Linked DNA regions of Sus scrofa. The protein of the gene in region 1 interacts with the protein of each later gene in a pairwise test. Links are inferred from orthologs where the notes say so. Each region holds a gene or a part of one and is shown in the gene's direction. Other genes may lie near its edges.

Region 1 (3,500 bases):
TTTGCCCTCTTTCGGAGCCAGAGTTGTGAAACTCCTCTCTCCATGTGTCAGAGCATTCAAACTGAGCTGCTCCCCTGTTGGTTGGCTCCTTGGGGACTGAGCTTCTGCTTTGATCAATTTTGTATTTATTTTTGAAGCTCTGGCAGTGTGCTGTGTTCAGCCCTCTGTGGACTACAGAGTTATGGCTGTGACTTTTCTTTTTGAAGGCTGATAATACTGGTTTCTGCTAGAGAACTTTGGTTCTCATTTATTCACATGTAAGTTCCAGTTGTAAAACTAACAAATTTTGCTTATTGTCTTTCCGTACCTGGGACGCTGTATTTGAAGCGTCCAGTTTTTGCAGGGAAAACATGTTGATAACAAACCAAATTCTTACTCTAAATTGTTCACTGTGCAATCTTCTGAACAGGCATTGCTGGGGGAAAATTTGAAATCTGTGAAATATATATGCGAGAGAGGGAGGAGGTCTTTGTCAAGAATTTCTTTTCTTTTCCGTTTTAGGCTGCACCCATGGAATGTGGAAGTTTCCGGGCTGGGAGTCGAATCAGAACTGCAGCTGCTGACCTATACCACAGCCACAGCAATGCCAGATCTGAGCCACGTGGGCAACCTACACCACAGCTCACAGCAGTGCCGGGTCCTTAACCCACTGAGAGAGGCCAAGGATTGAACCCGGCTCCTCATGGATACTGGTTGGATTCTTAACCCACCGAGCCACAACAGGAACTCCAAGAATTTCAGTTAAAGTTAGGAGTCACCATGTGTTACTTATGAAAGTAGGAAAATAGGAATTAGTTTCTAACTTTCCTGCCTCAAGATAAAGATTGTGAAAAAAATAAGATTCATATTGTTGGAATTCCTCTTGTGGCACAGTGGGATAAGAATCTGACTGCAGTGGCTTGGGTTGCCGCGCAGATGAGAGTTCAGTCTCTGGCCTGGGGATTTCCATATGCCGAGGATGCCTCCATTAAAAAAAAGAAAAGATTCATATTGTTATTTTCATACTCAGAGTTGCTGATTTTATTTCACCAGTGCTGGATAAGTTACTGATGTATTGTGGTCCCATTGAAAGGTTTACACATAAGATAAGAAATTTCAGAGCCCAGAGGTAAGCATAGTTGATTATAAAATTCTCTTCAAATTAAATGACACTGGAGTGTCATTTACATTATAGTCTGTCAGCCTTAATTTGTGGCTTGTTTCCAGTAATTGGCCTGTTTTTGATTTTTTGCTGTTGTTTTTTATTTTTGTTTTGTCATTTTAGGGCCACACCCGTGGCATATGGAGGTTCCCAGGCTAGGGGTCCAATCCGAGCTGTAGCCTCCGGCCTACACCACGGCCACAGTAATGCCAGATCCAAGCTGCATCTTCGACCTACACCACAGCTCACGGCAACTCCGGATCCTTAACCCACTGAGCAGGCCAGGGATAGAACCTGAGTCCTCATGGACCCTAGTCAGATTCATCAACTCTGAGCCACAACAGGGAACTCCTTTTTTTTTTTTTTTAATTGACGCGTAGTTGATGTATAGTGTCATGTGTTTCAGGAGTACAACATGCTGATTCACTATTTTTTTATTTTTTTTATTTTTAATTTTTTTTAATTTTATTTTTTGTCTTTTTGCTATTTCTTTGGGCCGCTCCTGCGGCATATGGAGTTTCCCAGGCTAGGGGTTGAATCGGAGCTGTAGCCCCCGGCCTACGCCAGAGCCACAGCAACGCGGGATCTGAGCCCCATCTGCGACCTACACCACAGCTCACGGCAACGCCGGATCATTAACCCACTGAGCAAGGGCAGGGATCGAACCCGCAACCTCATGGTTCCTAGTCGAATTCGTTAACCACTATGCCGCGACGGGAACTCCTGATTCACTATTTTTAAATGTTGTGTTCCATTTATAGTTATTATAAAATGTTGGCTATATTCCTTTTGCTGTACAGTACAGTCCTTGTAGCTTATTTATTTTATGCGTGGTAGTTTGTACTTCTTAATCCCACCTGTATCTTGCCCCTCCCACCCCCTTTCCCCACTGGTACCACTGATTTGTTTTCTATATCTGTGAGTCTGTTTCTTTTTGTTATATTCACTACTTTGTTTTATCTTTTTAGATTCCACATATAAAGTATTTGTCTTCCTCTGACTTCATTTAGCATAACAACCTCTATCTAGGTCCATCTGTGCTATTACAAATGGTAGAATTTCATCCTTTTTTATAGCTGACCAGTAAATCTTGGCCTAAAGTTTTAAGTGTTAAAAACCACAGAAAGCTACTTTGTACTCATGAGCCATCACTGTCACTGAGTTAGGTCACTTAAGTGCAGATTGGGCTAAAGACTTAATTAAATAGTGTCTGAAAAACATTGGTGTATGTATGTTTCTTTCTGTCTACTAAGAAAAGCAAAACAATTCAATTTTAGTAACCCACATTTTCCTTTTTTTTTTGCTGGTTCCTAGGTTCAGATTAAGAAAACATGCAAAGAATTTAAACTTAAAAATCAGATGGGTATTATTTAATGAGGACCAACAAGAGTTTATATAGATAGTGAACTCACCTTTTGCATTTATTGAACAACTTTACCTTCTAAAAAAGTCATTACCAACAAGTTTTTGGAACAGGCTTACATGTACCAAGTTGCATTTTATGGTGTTAGTCTTGTGACTAGTTCGAAAAAGCAGTTGGCCCCTTGTGTAGAGCAAGGCTTATGCTTGGAGCATAGTTTAGTTTTTGCCAGAATTTGTACCTATCTTTAAGTTAAAAATTTTTTTTTTCCTGAATTGATTGGCATATTTGGTTGCTTTGATTTTTTTTTTCTGAATATTGAGTTTTTTCATTATCATTTCACTTTTGGTTAAAGTCAACCTCCTAGTATAGTCTTTTGTCTTCTCTATGGAGGAACTCTGTGCCGGTAAAAAGCCCCATTAGTGGTTTGTTACTGTCTTGGGGCCTCTTCTCAGACCTCCCTGGGGGGTGGGTGCTGTGGCAAAGGTGGCTGTATGTTTGATTTTTTTTTTCTCCTCTTGACACTTTCCTTCTCATCTGAATTGGAATGTTCTCAGGAATTAAATCCAAGGTGGATGAGCTGAAAGCAGCCTATGACAGAGAGGAGTCTCCCAACCTGGAGGAGTATGAGCCCAACACTGTGGCCAGTTTGCTGAAGCAGTACCTTCGGGACCTGCCTGAAAACCTGCTCACCAAGGAGCTCACGCCCCGCTTTGAGGAGGCCTGTGGGCGGAGCTCGGAGGGTGAGAAGGTACAGGAGCTCCAGCGTCTTTTGTGGGAGCTGCCCGAGTGTAACCAGCTCCTCATCTCCTGGCTCATCGTGCACATGGACCATGTGATCTCCAAGGAGCTGGAAACAAAAATGAACATCCAGAACATTTCTATAGTGCTCAGCCCAACTGTCCAGGTACACGGCCTCTCTGCACTCAAGCTGTGCACACGGGCCCTCTGGGCCAGCCCTGGGGTTTCGGGGACGCGTCCTGTTGCTGAGCCACACAG
Region 2 (3,500 bases), on another chromosome or scaffold:
TCCTATGAGGATCAGACTTCCAGAATCTTTAAGACTCTTTTCAGAATATGGAAGACTTCACTGGCCAATTAGTGAATCTTGAGAGAGAATTGAGCATGAGTGTAATCACCTATAAAATGAGGTGGCCTTTGGTAACACAGGAATGGGCACTTCACATAGTTGAGCTGGATTCTACCTCTGCTTATCAGACTTTAAGTTGAAAGCTAACCATATCTAAAGTAGAGTTTCTCTTTTATGAAAATAGTTTTTTGGGCTAATATTACTTTTAACTGAATGTGAAAACATTACACTACATTAGAAGTTTATCTTCAATTCATGTTAATAACTTATTTTTTTGAAATGTTATAGGTATAATTATACTTTATAAAGTTTATTTGCCATATTAAACACTAGTTGAATGCACGTCATAGGCAGTACTCTTTGGTTTATTATGATACTGTATATCATCTGTTGAAAATGTCACACCAATAAAATCCTTTGCTGCTTAGCTAAGTTTGAAATCTTGAAAAGAAAAGTTCCAATACCAATAGCACAACCATTGTAATGGGGAATTTTGCAGGTCTCAGTCAGGAACGTCGCCTGATAACACTGCACCACCACCTCCCCCTCCAAGGCCTCAGCCCTCTCATTCTAGATCATCATCTTTAGATATGAATCGGACCTTTTCAGTCACCACAGGTAGGGGTTAGAGAACCATAATATATGCTATATTAAATTAAAGATACCAAGTTTTTTAATATAAAGTTAAAAAGGTACACTGTATTGTACTTTATTTTCTCTTTATATATCTTATTTTTTTGATTGAAGAAAAATTTTGAATTGAAAAAATAGCAGATGAGAGGGAATTTCTTCTCTTTAATGACTTAGCTAAAATATGTTTGAGTTTGGAGTTCCCATCGTGGCGCAGTGGTTAACAAATCCGACTAGGAACCATGAGGTTGCGGGTTCGATCCCTGGCCTTGCTCAGTGGGTTAAGGATCCGGTGTTGCCGTGAGCTGTGGTGTAGGTGGCAGACACGGCTTGGATCCCACGTTGCTGTGGCTCTGGCGTAGGCCAGTGGCTACAGCTCCAGTGAGACCCCTAGCCTGGGAACCTCCATATGCCGCGGGAGCGGCCCAAGCAATAGCAGAAAGACAAAAAATAAATAAATAAAATAAAATATTTTTGAGTTCAAATGATAAAGATGAGACCCTGAAAGATGCCACTAGAAATTTTAGAAGAACAGAGGGTGACAGTGTTCTGTTTTGGATGTTATGAGTTTGGAATGTCTAAGAAAGGGAAATAATCAACAGGCCATTGGACTTGTGGGCCAAGAAAGATTGATGTATTATTTGAGAATCGTTTACATAGAAATGATAGACTGGAGCATTAAATGAAAAGAGAAAACTTGGAAGTCTTCGTGTTTGATAGCTAAAGAGCAGTCAGAAATATGGGAAGCAAACCAAAAAATGAATAGCGTTGTGGGAACAGGGAGCAAGAAGTCAAGAATGCCTCAGGCGATAGAACAAGAGAAGAACTGAGGTCTTAGAAATCTTTATCATTTGATCACGTTCAGCCTGTCTGTTCTACTAGGAAAGTAAGTATATATTTACTAAAAAGAAGACTATGTGTTCACACAGGACAGCAACAGGCTGGAGTTGTTGCCCAACCTCCTGCAGTGCCTCCCAGACCACAGCCCTCACAGGTAATTCTCGTAGGTATTCATTATTAAACATCAGTTGTTATAGTCCCCTCTATCAATTTGTCTGTTAGATATTCGATTCAATTCTAGAATTATTTTGAAGGTGGAGGATTTCATAATTATTATTCTTAATGTACATTTAATTCAGGGAAGCCAGGTCTTATTTTAGAAGATAAGAATTCTAATGATTTATTTTTTGAAGAAGCTTAAAAGTGAACCAAATGATAACGTCTTGACAAAGGAGGCTTTAGTGCGAAGCACAATGGATTGAGAGATAGGAGAAGTCCATGTATGTCCTGGATCTAGCAGAGGACTCAGAGTGACCTCGCTGCATCCCCCTGAATGTGTTAGATGAAGGAAGTGTTAGATGACTTCTGCCCCCCTCCTTGGTTGACGTTATTTTCGTCTGCATAAAACTAGTATGTTCTGAGATAGAGTCTGCATTCTAGCTTAGTTTTATGTGACTGACCTTTTTACATGATGAATTTGGTTGATTTTTCTGAATTAGATTCTTACAATGAAATTGGTTATTTGCAGGTTAAAAGATGGTTTCCTAATCATCAAAGATACTGAAATATTGAATACTGAATATTCCAGTATTTATTTTATCTAACGTGCCAACAGAAGTACATGTACTGGATAATGAGTTGGTCTCTTGTCTCAAGTGGGAAAGACAAATCTGTAAACAACAATCATAGAGGTGCTGCAGTAGACATATTTGTAAAATGCTTTGGCACAGCTTTCCTAGCTAGTAAAGTCAGGGATCACATGGAAAAGGACTAAGGAAATGAAGGTAGTTAGACTTGAGCATAGACTTGAAAGATAAAATGCTGTTTCTTGGGGAGAGAGGGCATTACCACCAGAAAGGCATCCACAGTAAGTAAGCCTGGCATTTTCTTCAGGGAAAAACCATTGAGTTCAGTACAACTAGAGAGATGGCAAAGGAAATTGAAGAGGTGGGAAAGGACAGAGCATTTCCTATATTATACTAAGAAGGAAGAATTTTTAAAAGATACAGGGAATTTTTAAAGAGTAAGCAAGGATAAGAAACTTCAGGAGTTCCCGTCGTGGCGCAGTGGTTAACGAATCCGACTAGGAACCATGAGGTTGCGGGTTCGGTCCCTGCCCTTGCTCAGTGGATTAACGATCTGGCGTTGCCATGAGCTGTGGTGTAGGTTGCAGACGTGGCTCGGATCCCGCATTGCTGTGGCTCTGGCGTAGGCCGGTGGCTACAGCTCCGATTGACCCCTAGCCTGGGAACCTCCATATGCCGTGGGAGCGGCCCAAGAAATAGCAACAACAACAACAACAACAAAGACAAAAGACAAAAAAAAAAAAGAAAGAAAGAAACTTCAGACTTATTTCTGTAGCATCTCTACTCCTTTGCATAGAACTTCTCACACTGTATTTTAATTCCTTTGTTTACTTACCTCTTAGGCACTAGACTCTCAGCTTTATTAGGGCATGGACCTTATTTGCTTGTTCACTATTATATCTGTAGTGTTTGATCAAAGTAAATATTCAATAAGTTTATTTTTCGATTGAAGGTTTTAGAAGAATTGATCTGGCCAAGGAGTGGAGGACGAACTGAGGGAAAGCACACTGGAGTGTCAGAGACTAGTTAGAGCACTGCTTTACTTTTTTTTTTTTTTTTTTTTTTTGTCTTTTGTAGGCCCGCCCCTGCAGCATATGGAGGTTCCCAGGCTAGGGGTCGAATCGGAGCTGTAGCCATCGGCCTACCCCAGAGCCACAGCAACTCGGGATCCAAGCCACGTCTGCAACTTACATCACAGCTCACAGCATCACCAGATCCTTAACA
Region 3 (4,142 bases), on another chromosome or scaffold:
GGTGGGATTTGGAGTTCCCGTCGTGACTCAGTGGTTAATGAATCCGACTAGGAACCGTGAGGTTTCGGGTTCCATCCCTGGCCTTGCTCAGTGGGTTAAGGATCCGGCGTTGCCGTGAGCTGTGGTGTAGGTTGCAGATGTGGCTCGGATCCCACTTGCTGTGGCTCTGGCGTAGGCCGGTGGCTACAGCTCTAATTAGACCCCTAGCCTGGGAATCTCCTTATGCCATGGGAACGGGCCTAAAAAAAGAAGAAGGTGGGATTTGAGCAAAGGCCTGGAGAGGGGAGGGGAGGGAGCGAGGGGAGCGGGCATGGGAGGAAGACCCTTGGGAGGAAAGGGCGGAGCCAAGTCCCAGTAAGGAGGGGCTGATGCCTGGCAACAGCAAGGCCAGCTGCTCAGGCTCGCGGTCACCGTCAGGGCGGTGGTTGCAGCCAGCAAGAGCGAGGGGTACTGGGAGCAGAGGCCTCACTGTCCCGTTTCTGCTTCTTGCCTGCCAGATTCCGGGACCCCAAATCCCAGCGGACGCACCAGGCCCAGGTGGCGTTCCAGGTGTGCGTGCGCCCTGGCTCCTACACCCCCGGGCCCCCTTCTGCTGCCCTCAGAGAGCCTCCCGACCCTCACTTCAGCCCAGCTGAACTCGAGTGGGTGACCAAGGAGAAGGGGGCCACGCTCCTCTATGCCCTGCTGGTACGGGTGGAATGAGGGGTGACACCGCACTACGACAAGCACAGCAGGGCCTTGGGCCCGTGGACTCTGAGTGACGACTGCCTCCACCTCATTCCAGTGACGCGCGGCATGCACGGTGCTCAGCCTGGCAGATGCACAGGAGCATGTAGGCGGGCTCGCAGAGGAGCGCCCGGGGCCGGGACTGGACAGCCCCTCGAGGCGAGGGCGGCGAGGGGTCCGGCCGCCGGCCCTGGGGAACCCTCTCCATGCACTGATCTGGGGAGCGCGCCTCCCCGCCACTCCTCCCCCTACACTTAATTTATTTCCGTTTCTGTTCCTGGTTACTGTGAAGGCCAGAGGCGCCTCCCCGCGCCCCACACGAAGCTGCTTTTCCGGGCCGGGCGGGAGTGGGGAAGGCGGGCGCGGGTCGGGGCCTCTGTACAGTTGTTACTGACTCTGATTTCTAAGGAGCCAATAAACGCCGTCTCAGAGCAGCCGCCTTGGCCTCTCGCGCGCGCGCCTCTCGGTCCCCCCCGCCCCGACCCGGGAGGAGACCCGGCCCCGCCACGTCAGGGGCTCCGCCCTCGGGGTCGACGCCGGGCGGGGCGCAGCGGAGGCGTTTGGACGCCGCGGGCACCCGTCGCCCGCGCTTCCGCCTTCCCGCCCCGCCCCGCCGGCCCGCGAGCGCCGCGACAGCCTCGACTCCGGAAGGATTCGGCCCAGCGGCCGGATGTGACGCCACGGCCCAGGCGCTCGGGAGGCCGCGGAGAAAGCGACGAGAAGACGGGTAGGGAGGGGCCGGCGCCCGGGTAGCGGGCAGGGAGCGGGAGCGCCGAGGCCGAGACCCCCGCCCGCGCTCGCGGAGGAGCCGCGCTGTTAGGCCGGCCCGGCGGCAGGCACGTGACCGGGGCGGCGGGCGAGTGGCTTCCGCCCCGGCCTGGTCCGCTCCCTCTGAGCGCCCGCCTCCCCGCAGGCCCGGTCTGAGGTCTGGCAGCCAGTGACAGAGCCGGGCGTCCACGGCCCGAGCGCCCCCAGCAGCACCATGCCTGCGCTCCTGGAGCGCCCCAAGCTTTCCAACGCCATGGCCAGGGCGTTGCACCGGCACATCATGATGGAGCGGGAGCGCAAGCGGCAGGGTGAGCTGGGGCCAGAGCGGGAGGACGCACGGCCCGGGGCGCGCTGCTCTCCCGGGGCTGACCCCGACCTACGGGCAGACCCTGCGCGGCGGCCACAGCTAGAGGAGGGACCGATAGCCCCGACGTGGCGGGAGTCTGAGGCCAGATCTAAACTCCAGAACCGTGAGCTGGCAAGGACCTTGGAGAGCACCTAACAAACTTCCCTGTCCCCAGTGTCCTCTTGCAGTGGTGGGCAAACCTGTTTCTTTTAGAGGGAAAGAGTTCGTACCAAGTGTAGTGGGATACCAGTTTTTGCTGGCTTTCAATCGCTAACATTCTAATCTTTTAACCACTCTGCCACTTCCCCATTCTGCCTGACTCTGACTCTTCCAGAGGAAGAAGAGGTGGACAAGATGATGGAACAAAAGATGAAGGAAGAGCAGGAGAGAAGGAAAAAAAAGGAAATGGAAGAGAGAATGTCACTAGAGGAGACCAAGGAACAAGTAAGCAGTCCCTTGATCTCTCCCCAGCCCTTTCTGCCCTTGGCTCTCTTGCTTTCATCCCTCTCCTTCCTTCCCAGATCCTGAAGTTGCAGGAGAAGCTTTCGGCCCTCCAGGAAGAGAAGCACCAGCTTTTCCTGCAGCTCAAGAAAGTTTTACATGAGGAAGAAAAACGGAGGCGGAAGGAGCAGAGGTGAGATTGGGCAGCTAAAAATAAAATTGGGGCCCAAAGTCTAACTGGGATCAGGTAACAAGAGATCAAGTTTTTTGCGGGAGCGGAGAGGGGAAAAGGCTTGCCTTTGATCTGATGTGCCTGCCTCTTGTTCAGTGACCTGACCACTCTGACATCGGCAGCATACCAGCAAGGCCTGACTGTTCACACAGGAACTCACCTCCTCAGCATGCAGGGTGAGGATTAAAGAAACCACTTGTCAGATGGGCCTTCCTGGGGGTTGCAGCCTCTTCTTGCAGCATCACAAGCCCGTCTCCCTCTAGGGAGCCCCGGAGGACACAATCGGCCAGGCACCCTCATGGCAGCTGACAGAGCCAAACAGATGTTCGGCCCCCAAGTGCTTACAGTAAGAGCAGGAGGACTGGGTATCTAGGCTGTCATTTACTCCCGCTACTTCCAGCCGGCCTCGCATCCTTACCCAACCAGCATTCAAGTCATGAGTGTGTTGGGGAAATGGGGCTTTCAGTCACTCAAGTTTTTGCTTCATGGAGTTTACAGTGGTTCTCGTCCTCCCTCCTTAGAACCGACACTACGTGGGCTCAGCAGCTGCTTTCGCAGGGACCCCGGAGCATGGGCAGTTCCAAGGCAGCCCCGGCGGCGCCTATGGGACTGCTCAGCCCCCACCTCACTATGGACCCACCCAGCCTGCCTATAGTCCTAGTCAGCAGCTCAGAGGTGAGCCTTGGGCAAAGGGGAGGAGGGGCATTCCTCAAGGCTCTAAGGGAGGAGTGTTGTGAACAGGCTACCAGGAGGTCCTAATGGCTGTCTCCTGCCTTCCTCAGCACCTTCGGCATTTCCTGCAGTGCAGTACCTGTCTCAGCCACAGCCACAGCCCTATGCTGTGCACAGCCACTTTCAGCCCACCCAGACAGGTGATGGTAGACAGACACCACGCAGGGGCCCAGTTCCAGCGGTCCTCCTCCCTTCCTCTTCGCCTCCTTTCTCTACTCACCTCACACACCCTTCCTCCCCACCTAGGCTTCCTCCAGCCCGGTGGCGCCCTGTCCTTACAAAAGCAGATGGAACACGCTAACCAACAAACTGGCTTCTCTGACTCAGTGAGTAAAATCTTGGGAAGTCAGGGGAAGGGCTGCCCACACTAAGGGGAGCCCCAGGCTGCCTCAGCTGACTTTGTTCTCTGCAGTCCTCCCTACGCCCCATGCATCCCCAAGCTCTGCATCCAGCCCCTGGACTGCTTGCCTCACCCCAGCTCCCTGTGCAGATGCAACCAGCAGGAAAGGTAAGCCCACCAGAATGCCTACATCACCAAGTTGAAAAAAGGACTGGGTAGGACAGGTGGTCCCTGCCCCCCTTTTTCCCTCCTCCTCTGCCATGGCTGTCAGTCCCCTGCGGGAGTAGAAGGAAGGGGAAGGGCGCGCACTGACAAAGCCCTCCTCTCATTACTGCTGCCAGTCGGGCTTTGCAACCACCAGCCAGCCTGGCCCTCGGCTCCCCTTCATCCAGCACAGCCAGAACCCGCGATTCTACCACAAGTGACCATCAGAGTCTATCAACCTCGCTCCCAGCCCCTGCCCCCTACTGTGGGGGAGGATCCCTGGTGTGCCTCAGTCCCAGGCCAATAAAATCTACCTGCCACTGCCCCCGATGCTGCTACTGTCTGTGTTACCT
Region 4 (3,500 bases), on another chromosome or scaffold:
ATTTAAAATTATTCTGAAAGAAATTCCACATAGGGTTTTCTAGTGCTTAGTATCTGGAGGTTAATTTTATGGGTCATGATAAAATTACATTTTGCTCAGGTGCGTTTTGAGGAACAAGTGCTAATGTCCTGTGTTAGACTGACTGAATTCAGGGCAGATTGGACTAACATACAGAAACAGGCTTAGAGCATCTGAAAAGGGCTTCTAGAGCGCCTGGAAAATATTTGTTATATATGCTGTAGATTTATGTTAAACAGCTTGTTAAAACTAAAACTGTTCTCTGAGCAAACTAATTTCTGCTTTTCTTATGTATTCTTTTTAGAACTGACATCTCAGTTGTTAGCTGCAGAAAATAAATGTAATCTTTTAGAAAAACAATTGGAATACATGCGTAATATGATAAAGCATGCAGAAATGGAGAGGACGTCTGTATTAGAGAAACAGGTATGTCACTTCACAGAGTCAGTCTCAAGAACAATTAAAGAGAGGAGTTCCTGTCGTGGCTCAGTGGTTAACGAACCTGATTAGTCACCATGAGGCTGCAGGTTCAATCCCTGGCCTCGCTTAGTGGGTTAAGGATCCGGCGTTGCCATGAGCTGTGGTGTAGGTCGAAGACGCGGCTCGGATCCCGAGTTGCTGTGGCTGTGGTGTGGGCTGGCAGCTACAGCTCCGAATTCAACCCCTAACCTGGGAACCTCCATATGCCACCAGTACGGCCCTAAAAAGACAGACAAAAAAAAAAGAGAAATTAAAGAGAAAATTAATGTAAAGACATTTTTTTCTCAGTGAGGAGTAATACTGCTGTCATAAACAATTCTTCTATCTTAAAAGATAATAGTACCAATAGTTCATTTTGAAAAACTGCTAGTGGAAGCTTTGAGAAAAATGTGATTTTTTTCTTTAAGCAAAACTATGAAGAGGAGTTTCCTTTGGGGGAGCTCCTCACACGTACTGCCGTATTCTCTGCACTCAGCTTTGATAGCTTCTGCTTGTGAACAGTGTTGACAGCCCAGGACTGAAATTACTCGGGATCAGTTATGGTGTCCAAAAATTTGTTTTGTCTTCATTGTTATTGCTGTATTTGATAGAGTTTTACTTAGAGTTTTTACTAAACTATACATTTAGTTGTGTTTTCAAGTCATGATAAATTCTTTCATACATTATTAAAAGTGTAAATAAGCATGTTATGTACCTCTCTACCCCTTGAGTTTGTTAGACTCAGCACATTTCAGGGTGATTCATACTTTGAAAAAACTCTCTACAATTGTTATTTTAACAAAAATATTTTGCTGTTTTCACACCAGAGGTATTTTTATTTAACCTGCAATATCAGTCTCAAATATATTTTTAAAAGCATATCTCCTTTTCCTATTAGGAACCTAGAATTTGAATTCCTTATGAATATCCCAGTTTCTAGCCATCTTAACTTTATGATGCAAAAGTTGACTGTTTATATGCTTAACATTTCGCTGGATACCATGCAGTATGAAAGAAATTAAATGCTTTCCACCTCAGTCAACTTTGCATCATAGCTGGAGATGTTAGACCTAAAAGAACAGTGTGAATGATAGCACAAGAACATTTTAAGTAGATATTTCAATAATTAATTCTCATGTGTGCTACAGGTCTCTACTATGCCACTGAATTTATTTGTGATCATATTTTTTTGTTTCCAGTTGGGTCCTCTTCAGCCCATCTATTTTTGTTGTTATTTTAATGTACCATTAAACTTTGGTTTTTATTTCCTCCTTTTATCTCTTTGAACACTATAAAAATTCCCAGTCTTGGAGTTCCCCAGTGGCCCAGCAGTTAAGGATGCAGCATTGTTACTGCTATGGCTTGTTGTCACTGCTGAGGCTCAGGTTTGATCCCTGGCTCAGGAACTTCCTCGTGCCATGAATGCAGGGCCTCCCCCCACCCAAAAGAAATCCCAGTCGTCTTTAAATTAACTGATTTTTCTTATGAGAACTGTATATGTATGTTTACATATTTTTTATGATGAGCCCATATTCTTTGGAATTATTTATATTGGGAATTCCATTCTTCTAAGTTGAGTAGGCAGCCTTATAAAGTGATGGTAGATTTGCCTTTGCTGAGGATTTCTGGGTTTCCCTGCTTCTGATCTGCATTTATGATGCCTTTTGGCTTGAGATTCATGAATTGGGCAGATGGTACCTTGTGTGAGATTTATGTCATAGTCCTGGTATGCCTTATACAGCAAGGCTAGTTTTGCCTCATCTAGTATTTGGCTTCAGTATTTGTTCAGTTGCTTTTGAATTCTTTATTTATTTATTTTTTGTCTTTTTGAGGGCCATACCCGTGGCACATGGAGGTTCCCAGGCTTAGGGGTCCAATCAGAGCTGTAGCCGCCAGCCTACACCACAGCCACACCAGAACTAAGCCACGTCTGCGACCAACACCACAGCTCACAGCAACACCGGATCCTGAACCCACTGAGCAAGGCCAGGAATCGAACCCGCAACCTCATGGTTCCTAGTCTGATTCGTTTCTGCTGCACCATGAGGGGAACTTTATCTTTTTTCATCTGCAGGTTTCCCTTTCTTGTCTTCAGATTTCCTGTGTAATTATTATTTCTGTGTTTTGTCTAATATTTTATGTGATGGGATGGGAAAGCAGATGGTCAGCTCAGTCTGCCACATGATTGGAAATGGTAAAACATGATGTACAGTAATATAGCAGCTGTCTTCATGGGGATACTCCAGTTCTCAAGTTAGAAAGCATCCATGAGACAACAGTGAGATGTCTTGACTAACACATCTATTAAACATATATATGTCTTTGAACTAAGCCCTGTTTTCATCATTCTATTTTGAATAGCCTGTTTAATAAGAATACTGAAAGTAAAATATGATTTTTGCCAATTTTTAGCTTAATGTATTATTTTAAGGGCCGTATCTATCTACTAAGGTGATAGGGAATTAATAGTTCACATAAATTCCTGAGAAATTTATTGCTTTATATTACTTGTCATATTCAGATTTCTGTTAGTAGGATACCACTTGCTATAGACTTGCTGTATATGAGCTCACATGCTTAGTGTTTTGGCTTTTTACCAGTAGACCCCAATTTCACATATTTCCTCTTCTTATCCTAGTTTAATGGTATATTCTGTGACTATCAGTCCTTAAATCTGATAGGTTCCAGTCTTTTCAAATCATTGACTAAACCTAAAAAAAAATATGGTGGATGCTTTGCATAGAATTCAGAGGAAGGGGAATTCTTGTCGTGGCACAGTAGGTAACAAATCCAATTAGGAACCATGAGGTTGCGGGTTCAATCCCTGCCCTTGCTCAGTGGGTTACGATCTGGCGTTGCCGTGAGCTGTGGTGTAGGTCGCAAACGCGGCTCAGATCCCGCATTGCTATGGCTCTGGCGTAGGCCAACGGCTATGGCTCCAATTGGACCCCTAGCCTGGGAACCTCCATATGCTGTGGGAGCGGCCCAAGAAATGACAAAAAAAAAAAAAAAAAAAAAGAATT
Region 5 (3,500 bases), on another chromosome or scaffold:
TCACGTTAGCAGAGGGACTGTAGCTTTAGAATCCTAGAGACATTTATTTCTGTTTTGTTGAGTCTGCTGCTTGTTCTGTCAATACTTTGGTTTAAGACATTTTTGGAAATGGTGATTAAACAGCTTACACAGCAATATGAATTTCTTCCCACAGGTAAACTGTGAGACAGATTTTGTTTCCAGAAACTTAAAATTTCAACAATTGGTCCAGCAAGTAGCCCTGGGAACCCTGTTGCACTGTCAGAGCCTAAAGGATCCACTCTCCACGTATAGTAAAGTGAGTTTGGAGTTGTCTCCAACATGCTGGATTTGTTCCTATTCCAGTTTTTCAGACATCGTCATGTCTTACTTTCTTATTTCATGTCTCTACTTAAATGTTACCTCTCTGGAGAGGAGTACCTTTCTATTGTTTTATCCCCTTATCTTGCTTCATGTGAAATTTTTTGTTATAGTGCTTATATAGTTTTTGTTACAGTACATTTTTTTTTTTTTTTTTTTTTTTATTTTCCCACTGTACAGCAAGGGGGTCAGGTTATCCTTACATGTATACATTGCAATTACAGTTTTTCCCCCACCCTTTCTTCTGTTGCAACATGAGTATCTAAACATAGTTCTCAATGCTATTCAGCAGGATCTCCTTGTAAATCTATTCTAAGTTGTGTCTGATAAGCCCAAGCTCCCGATCCCTCCCACTCCCTCCCCCTCCCATCAGGCAGCCACAAGTCTCTTCTCCAAGTCCATGATTTTCTTTTCTGAGGAGATGTTCATTTGTGCTGGATATTAGATTCCAGTTAGAAGTGATATCATATGGTATTTGTCTTTGTCTTTCTGGCTCATTTCACTCAGGATGAGATTCTCTAGTTCCATCCATGTTGCTGCAAATGGCATTGTGTCATCCTTTTTTTATGGCTGAGTAGTATTCCATTGTGTATATATACCACATCTTCCGAATCCAATCATCTGTCGATGGACATTTGGATTGTTTCCATGTCCTGGCTATTGTGAATAGTGCTGCAATGAACATGCGGGTGCATGTGTCTCTTTTAAGTAGAGCTTTGTCTGGATAGATGCCCAAGAGTGGGATTGCAGAGTCATATGGAAGTTCTATGTATAGATTTCTAAGGTATCTCCAAACTCTTCTCCATAGTGGCTGTACCAGTTTACATTCCCACCAGCAGTGCAGGATGGTTCCCTTTTCTCCACACCCCCTCCAGCACTTGTTATTTGTGGACTTATGAATGATGGCCATTCTGACTGGTGTGAGGTGGTATCTCATGGTAGTTTTGATTTGCATTTCTCTTATAACCAGCGATGTTGAGCATTTTTTCATGTGTTTGTTGGCCATCTGTATATCTTCTTTGGAGAAATGTCTATTCAGGTCTTTTGCCCATTTTTCCATTGATTGATTGGTTTTTTTGCTGTTGAGTTGTATAAGTTGCTTATATATTCTAGAGATTAAGCCCTTGTCAGTTGCATCATTTGAAACTATTTTCTCCCATTCTGTAAGTTGTCTTTTTGTTTTCTTTTGGGTTTCCTTTGCTGTGCAAAAGCTTTTCAGTTTGATGAGGTCCCATGGGTTTATTTTTGCTCTAATTTCTATTGCTTTGGGAGACTGACCTGAGAAAATACTCATGATGTTGATGTCAGAGAGTGTTTTGCCTATGTTTTCTTCTAGGAGTTTGATGGCGTCCTGTCTTATATTTAAGTCTTTCAGCCACTTGGAGTTTATTTTTGTGCATGGTGTGAGGGTGTGTTCTAGTTTCATTGCTTTGCATGCAGCTGTCCAGGTTTCCCAGCAATGCTTGCTGAATAGACTTTCCTTTTCCCATTTTATGTTCTTGCCTCCCTTGTCAAAGATTAATTGACCATAGGTGTCAGGGTTTATTTCCGGATTCTCTATTCTGTTCCATTGGTCTGTCTGTCTGTTTTGATACCAGTACCACACTGTTTTGATGACTGTGGCTTTGTAGTATTTCTTGAAGTCTGGGAGAGTTATGCCTCCTGCTTGGTTTTTGTTTCTCAGGATTGCTTTGGCGATTCTGGGTCTTTTGTGGTTCCATATAAATGTTTGGATTGTTTGTTCTAGTTCTGTGAAAAATGTCATGGGTAATTTGATAGGGATTGCATTGAATCTGTATATTGCTTTGGGTAGTATGGCCATTTTTACAATATTAATTTTCCCAATCCAGGAACATGGAATTATCTTTCCATTTCTTTACATCTTCTTTGATTTCTTTGATTAAAGTTTTATAGTTCTCGGCATATAGGTCCTTTACCTCTTTGGTCAGGTGTATTCCGAGGTATTTGATTTTGTGAGGTACAATTTTAAAAAGTATCGTATTTTTGTATTCCTTTTCTAATGTTTCATTGCTGGTATACAGAAATGCAACTGACTTCTGAATGTTAATCTTATATCCTGTCACTTTGCTGAATTTATTAATCAGTTCAAGGAGTTTTGGGGTTGAGTCCTTAGGGTTTTCTAGGTATAGTATCATGTCATCTGCATACAGTGACAGTTTGATCTCTTCTCTTCCTATATGGATGCCTTTTATTTCTTTTGTTTGTCTAATTGCTGTGGCTAAGACTTCCAAAACGATGTTGAAGAGCAGTGGTGAGAGTGGGCATCCCTGTCTTGTTCCAGATTTGAGTGAGAAGGCTTTCAGTTTTTCCCCATTGAGTATTACATTTGCTGTGGGTTTATCATAAATGGCTTTGATTATATTCAGGAATGTTCCCTCTATACCCACTTTGGCGAGGGTCTTGATCATGAATGGATGTTGAACTTTGTCAAATGCTTTTTCTGCATCTATTGAGATGATCATATGATTTTTGACTTTTTTTTTGTTAATGTGGTGTATGATGCTGATTGATTTGTGTATGTTGAACCATCCTTGTGAACCTGGGATGAACCCAACCTGGTCATGGTGTATAATTTTTTTGGTATGTTGTTGGATTCGGTTGGCTAAGATTTTGTTGAGAATTTTTGCATCTATATTCATCAATGGTATTGGCCGATAGTTTTCTTTTTTGGTGGTATCTCTGTCTGGTTTTGGAATGAGGGTGATGGTGGCCTCATAGAATGTCTTTGGGAGTATTCCTTCTTCTTCTACCTTTTGAAAGAGTTTAAGGAGGATGGGCACCAATTCCTCTTTATATGTTTGATAAAATTCACCTGTGAAGCCATCTGGTCCTGGACTTTTATTTGTAGGGAGTGATTTTATGACCTCTTCAATTTCATTTCTAGTGATCGGTCTGTTCAGCTGGTCTGTTTCTGCTTGATTCAGTTTTGGCAGGCTGTAAGATTCTAGAAAATTGTCCATTTCTTCCAGATTGTCAAACTTGTTGCCATACAGTTGTTCATAGTATTCTCTTATGGTTTTTTGTATTTCTGCTGTATCCGTTGTGATTTCTCCTTTTTCATTTCTAATTTTGGTTATTTGGGTTCTTTCTCTCCTCTTTTTAGTGAGTCTGGCCAGGGGTTTGTCAATTTTGTTCACCTT
Region 6 (4,048 bases), about 95 Mb from region 1:
TTAGACTCTGCACCTGGCGCATGCTAAGGTCTCTCTCTGTGTGTTTAAGAAATACATGATCTACACGTGTGACTTGGAACCAGTTAATCCCCTGAAAGGCCCAGACTTGTTGAGTCATCGCCCTGGAACACACAGCCTAGACACACGGGACCCTTTTTGTCCCTGGCCAGCAGTGGGGAGGGGCGGGGCAGCCGAGTCTGTCCCCAGGATGGCTGGTGCATTCACTAAGGTGTTCAGGCCACCAGGAGACAGCCCCTCTTCCCTGTCACCAAAATTAGAACCCTGGGCCCTGAAAGATACCCCGGATCCAGGACTCCTCAGGGCTGTAAAGGGCCCTTTAGATGGGGGTGGGGGGCGGGTGCTGAGACCCTTTGGAATGGGGAGAGGGCCGGCAACAGCCCAGCTCACTGGGCAGCCTCCCTCCTCTAGAGAGCTGCCCTTCCTCGGCGGGCTCTCCGGGGACGCCGGCCGCGTCCTTACCTGGCTCCTCCGGCGTCCTGCCTGACCTTTACTTAAAGACCAGCTCTAGCGGCTGATGGGTTTTCGCGGGTCCCGGAGGAGACCCTTCAGACGGCTCGAGCCTGGCGCGCTGGAGAGAGCCCCCTAATTGGGGCAATGAATCACCGAGCGCGGCTCCCGGCTGGACACAAAATAGATAGAGGAGCCGGCGAGCTATTGTGCGCAGTTTGGGACCGGGGGGGGGGCGGGGGGGGGTTGGGAGGGAGGCAGGGAGGAGGAGGTGGTGGAGGAGGAGGAGGGAGGCGGAGGGGAGGGAGGGGAGGGAGCGCGAGGGAGGGAGTCCCCCGCCCGCCGCGCTCCCGCCCTCCCGCCCTTCCCCTCCCCTCCCCTCCCCTCCCCTCCCCTCCTCCCTCCTCCCCAATTAAATGACCCAACGCTTTGGCAGGCGCCGGAGCTCGCACATGCGGCTGCCGCTCCAGCCGCCCGGGGCCCGCCGCCGCCGCTGCGTTCCGGGCGCGCTCGCCGCGGCGCCGCCGGGGGCTCGGCCGGCCGGGGGGGGCGCCCCTGCGAGCGGCCGAGCGCCCGCGCCCGCGCCGGCCGCCCGCCGCCAAACTTTGCGGCGCGCACACATGCTCCAAGTTGGGCGCGGCGGCGGCGGCGGCGGCGGGCGGTGAGGGCGGCCCGGGGCGCGCGGGGGCCGGCGCGGCGCGGCCATGAGCGGGCGGCCGGCGCCGGTCTCCCGCAAGCAGCGGCTCATGGCAGCCGTGGGCGAGCGGGCGGCGGGCGGCGGCGGCGGCGCGCCGCTCTCCTGCTTCATCTGCGGCGGCGGCATCGGGCGCGGCAAGGAGCTGAAGCTGCAGGTGAAGCAGCCGGCGGCGGCGGCGGGCGCGGGGGCCCCGGCGCAGCCCTTCTTCCCGTTCCTGCAGCAGCAGGAGCCGGCGCCCGGCGCGCGCGAGCTGTCCCCGGCCGACGGCTGCGTGCTGGTGTGCGCCGTGTGCCGCTGCTTCCTGGGCGAGCAGTGGGCCGCCTTCGAGCGCGCCCGCACGCCCGTGGACAAGCGCATGTACTGGCTCAAGCGGCCCCACCAGTGCGACGCGGGCGCGGGCGGGCGCCGCGGGGGCGCCGGGGCCCCCCGCGAGTGGAACGTCGCCTACGCGCTGGGCGGCGCGGCCGACGACGACGAAGACGGCGGCGGCGGCCCCGGGCCCCGCGCGGCCCCCGAGGAGCCTCGAGATTCCGAGCTGTCGGAGCTGTCGGACACAGACCCCTTCTCCGAGCCCGACCCCGCCGCGCGCGACGCCGCCAGTCCCCGCCAGGACGGGGCGCCAGCGGCGCGGGCCGCCCCCGGGCCCGGGCCTCGCGGGGGCCGCTGCCCGGAGTGGAGGCCGGCGCCGGGACCCCCTCCGGGACTGGGCGCGGAGACCCCCACGCCGGGGGACCTGGAGGACGACGGGATCCCCTCGAAGCTCCACGTGGACGGGGAGCCCAGGGCCGGCATCCGGCGCCGGCGCAAGGGCGCTGGGAGGCCCTGGGCCCCAGAGGCCCGGGCCAGCGTCCTGAGGGGCCTTCCGGACCCTTGGCAAAGGCCTCCGGTCCAAGGCGCCCCTGCAGAGGGCGTGAAAGGAGCCCCTCTGGGCAGGGCCGCCAAGACTGCCGAGAGCAAACCGCTGGCGGAGACGCGCGCTTCTGAGGACAGTGACGTCAACATCACCAGCGAGGAGGAGGACCGCAAGGAGCAGCCTCTCCCAGGCCCCTGCTGCCCCAGAGACCAGGACGCCGCTGGCGGGGGCCGTGCCCCCCGGGCTCCCCTGGAGAGCCGGGCTGCACCACCAGAGGGCCTTTGCTGCTACATCTGTGGGTGTGCGCTGTCCCCGGCCTCGCAGCACCAGATCCACGTGCAGAAGCAGGAGAAGCTGGCCCAGGCGCCCTTCTTCCCCTTCCTGTGGCTGCACAGCCCGCCCCCGGGGGCGCAGCCCATCAGCGAGGGTGGCAGCACCCTGGTGTGCCCCTGCTGCTTCTCCTCCCTCATGCAGCAGTGGCAAAGCTTCGAACTGGCCAACGTGCCGGTCCTGCAGCGGCTCTACGTGGTGCCCCTGAACAGCCACGCTCCCGGCATGGCCTCCAAGGGCAGGAGGCTCCCCAGGGAAGAGGGCCCGCCTGCCGGGGCCCTGCCAGAGGCCTGCTACCTCTGCGGGGAGGACTGTACGCGGGATGCCCGGGCCGTGGCCTGCAGGACCCTCAACGGCAACGCCAGGGGCTCCATGCATTTCCCGTTTCTCAGCCTCCTGCCCTGCCCGCCCAACGCCCAGGGCCCCAACAAGCGCTGTGAGGTCCGCAGCTGCCCCAAGTGCTTCAGCGTCCTGGAGGACGTGTGGGCCCTGTACCGGGCCTGCCAGAACGAGGAGCTCATCACCTCTGTGCAGGGCTTCTTGGGCCGGTACCACCAGGCCTTCTCAGCCTCGGACCCTGCGCTCTGCGAGCCGCCCGCCTCGGCCCAGGGTGGCCCGGCCTCCGTCTGCTACATCTGCGGGGCCGAGCTGGGCCCCGGCAAGGAGTTCCAGCTCAACGTGAACCCCTCCAGCCGCCTGGGCGAGAAGGAGCCCTTCTTCCCCTTCCTCACTGTCTACCCGCCGGCCCCGCGCGCCAGGCCTGCCGACTCCACCGGCCTGGTGGCCACCTGCGTGCTCTGTTACCATGACCTGCTGGGCCAGTGGCTGCAGCACGAGGCCCGCAGCGCCCCCCACGCCATCAGCCCCTGGTCACGGCAGTACCAAGTGGAGATATTCGTGTGCTTCTTCTGCCAGCAGGAGAAGAAGCGGTGTCTCGGGCTCAAGGCCGTGCGGGTGGCCCGGCTGCCCTTGTTTCTGTACACCCTTCGAGCGAGCCACAGCCTGCTCGTGGACGATGGGCGACAGCTGATCATCGGCGCCTGCACGGAGTGCGGGACCCTGGTGTGTGCTGGCCAAGGGCTCACCCGCCAGGGACCCACGGGCTGGAGCTCCCCAGGGGCGGCGGCGAGGAAGGTAAGCAGCTCCGTTCTCGTGTCCTCCTCTGAAACCCGAGCAGGGAAGGAGGCGATGTTGTTTTCTGCACCGCTGCTGGAGAGGAGAGGGGTTTTGCGCCCCGTGTGGTCCAGCAGGAGGGGCGCTCCCCCTGCCCCAGGTCACCCGGCCAGGGCTCAGTGAGCACGCTGACCTGGTTGAGCTCGGAAGCGTGTGACAGGCCAGAGGAGTTGGGAGGCCAGGAGTGGCCTCGTGGAAGAATAGGGCAGTACTGAAAGCAGCAGGCATGAGCCTGAACTTGAGTGTTTGCAGCGGAATCTATCAAACAGAGGAAGTTCGGGGCACGTCTGTCATCCGCCTGATAACATTGGTAATTAGTCCAGCCACGCAGGTCACCGAGAGGTCTCGGCACTCACCCGGTTTGAAACACATCAGAGGTGGAAGTTCCTCTCGACTCTCACTCCCACTCAGTGTAGCTTTTCCAGAATTTTCCACCCAAGTTCACACTTTCCCTCTGAGGCTCTCTGGTTGCTTAAGAGCAGATGGAGACAGATTTCCAGACGTGGGGGTTTGGGACCCCGGGGACG

What was found.
Region 2: the proteins of RALBP1 (region 1) and REPS1 interact in binary tests that used the Homo sapiens proteins (3 or more experiments, as listed by UniProt). The link is inferred for Sus scrofa from reciprocal best matches to the Homo sapiens genes RALBP1 and REPS1.
Region 3: the proteins of RALBP1 (region 1) and GPS2 interact in binary tests that used the Homo sapiens proteins (3 or more experiments, as listed by UniProt). The two-hybrid records come from large-scale screens. The link is inferred for Sus scrofa from reciprocal best matches to the Homo sapiens genes RALBP1 and GPS2.
Region 4: the proteins of RALBP1 (region 1) and CEP57 interact in binary tests that used the Homo sapiens proteins (3 or more experiments, as listed by UniProt). The two-hybrid records come from large-scale screens. The link is inferred for Sus scrofa from reciprocal best matches to the Homo sapiens genes RALBP1 and CEP57.
Region 5: the proteins of RALBP1 (region 1) and TSFM interact in binary tests that used the Homo sapiens proteins (3 or more experiments, as listed by UniProt). The two-hybrid records come from large-scale screens. The link is inferred for Sus scrofa from reciprocal best matches to the Homo sapiens genes RALBP1 and TSFM.
Region 6: the proteins of RALBP1 (region 1) and GSE1 interact in binary tests that used the Homo sapiens proteins (3 or more experiments, as listed by UniProt). The link is inferred for Sus scrofa from reciprocal best matches to the Homo sapiens genes RALBP1 and GSE1.

Annotation. Positions count from the first base shown.
Region 1 is NC_010448.4:98,567,946-98,571,445, reverse strand, and holds part of RALBP1 (ralA-binding protein 1), read left to right. Parts: intron 1-3,058; coding exon 3,059-3,408; intron 3,409-3,500. UniProt on the Homo sapiens protein: Multifunctional protein that functions as a downstream effector of RALA and RALB. As a GTPase-activating protein/GAP can inactivate CDC42 and RAC1 by stimulating their GTPase activity.
Region 2 is NC_010443.5:25,554,283-25,557,782, forward strand, and holds part of REPS1 (ralBP1-associated Eps domain-containing protein 1), read left to right. Parts: intron 1-559; coding exon 560-678; intron 679-1,619; coding exon 1,620-1,684; intron 1,685-3,500. UniProt on the Homo sapiens protein: May coordinate the cellular actions of activated EGF receptors and Ral-GTPases.
Region 3 is NC_010454.4:52,664,844-52,668,985, reverse strand, and holds GPS2 (G protein pathway suppressor 2), read left to right. Parts: upstream 1-1,342; 5' UTR 1,343-1,453; exon of another isoform or gene 1,454-1,562; intron 1,563-1,639; 5' UTR 1,640-1,708; coding exon 1,709-1,802; intron 1,803-2,174; coding exon 2,175-2,284; intron 2,285-2,361; coding exon 2,362-2,474; intron 2,475-2,609; coding exon 2,610-2,689; intron 2,690-2,776; coding exon 2,777-2,859; intron 2,860-3,034; coding exon 3,035-3,188; intron 3,189-3,295; coding exon 3,296-3,385; intron 3,386-3,491; coding exon 3,492-3,571; intron 3,572-3,657; coding exon 3,658-3,753; intron 3,754-3,926; coding exon 3,927-4,010; 3' UTR 4,011-4,117; downstream 4,118-4,142. UniProt on the Homo sapiens protein: Key regulator of inflammation, lipid metabolism and mitochondrion homeostasis that acts by inhibiting the activity of the ubiquitin-conjugating enzyme UBE2N/Ubc13, thereby inhibiting 'Lys-63'-linked ubiquitination.
Region 4 is NC_010451.4:27,837,070-27,840,569, forward strand, and holds part of CEP57 (centrosomal protein of 57 kDa), read left to right. Parts: intron 1-322; coding exon 323-444; intron 445-3,500. UniProt on the Homo sapiens protein: Centrosomal protein which may be required for microtubule attachment to centrosomes. May act by forming ring-like structures around microtubules. Mediates nuclear translocation and mitogenic activity of the internalized growth factor FGF2, but that of FGF1.
Region 5 is NC_010447.5:23,076,087-23,079,586, forward strand, and holds part of TSFM (elongation factor Ts, mitochondrial), read left to right. Parts: intron 1-154; coding exon 155-277; intron 278-3,500. UniProt on the Homo sapiens protein: Associates with the EF-Tu.GDP complex and induces the exchange of GDP to GTP. It remains bound to the aminoacyl-tRNA.EF-Tu.GTP complex up to the GTP hydrolysis stage on the ribosome.
Region 6 is NC_010448.4:3,654,765-3,658,812, reverse strand, and holds the start of GSE1 (genetic suppressor element 1), read left to right. Parts: upstream 1-1,248; 5' UTR 1,249-1,520; coding exon 1,521-3,482; intron 3,483-4,048.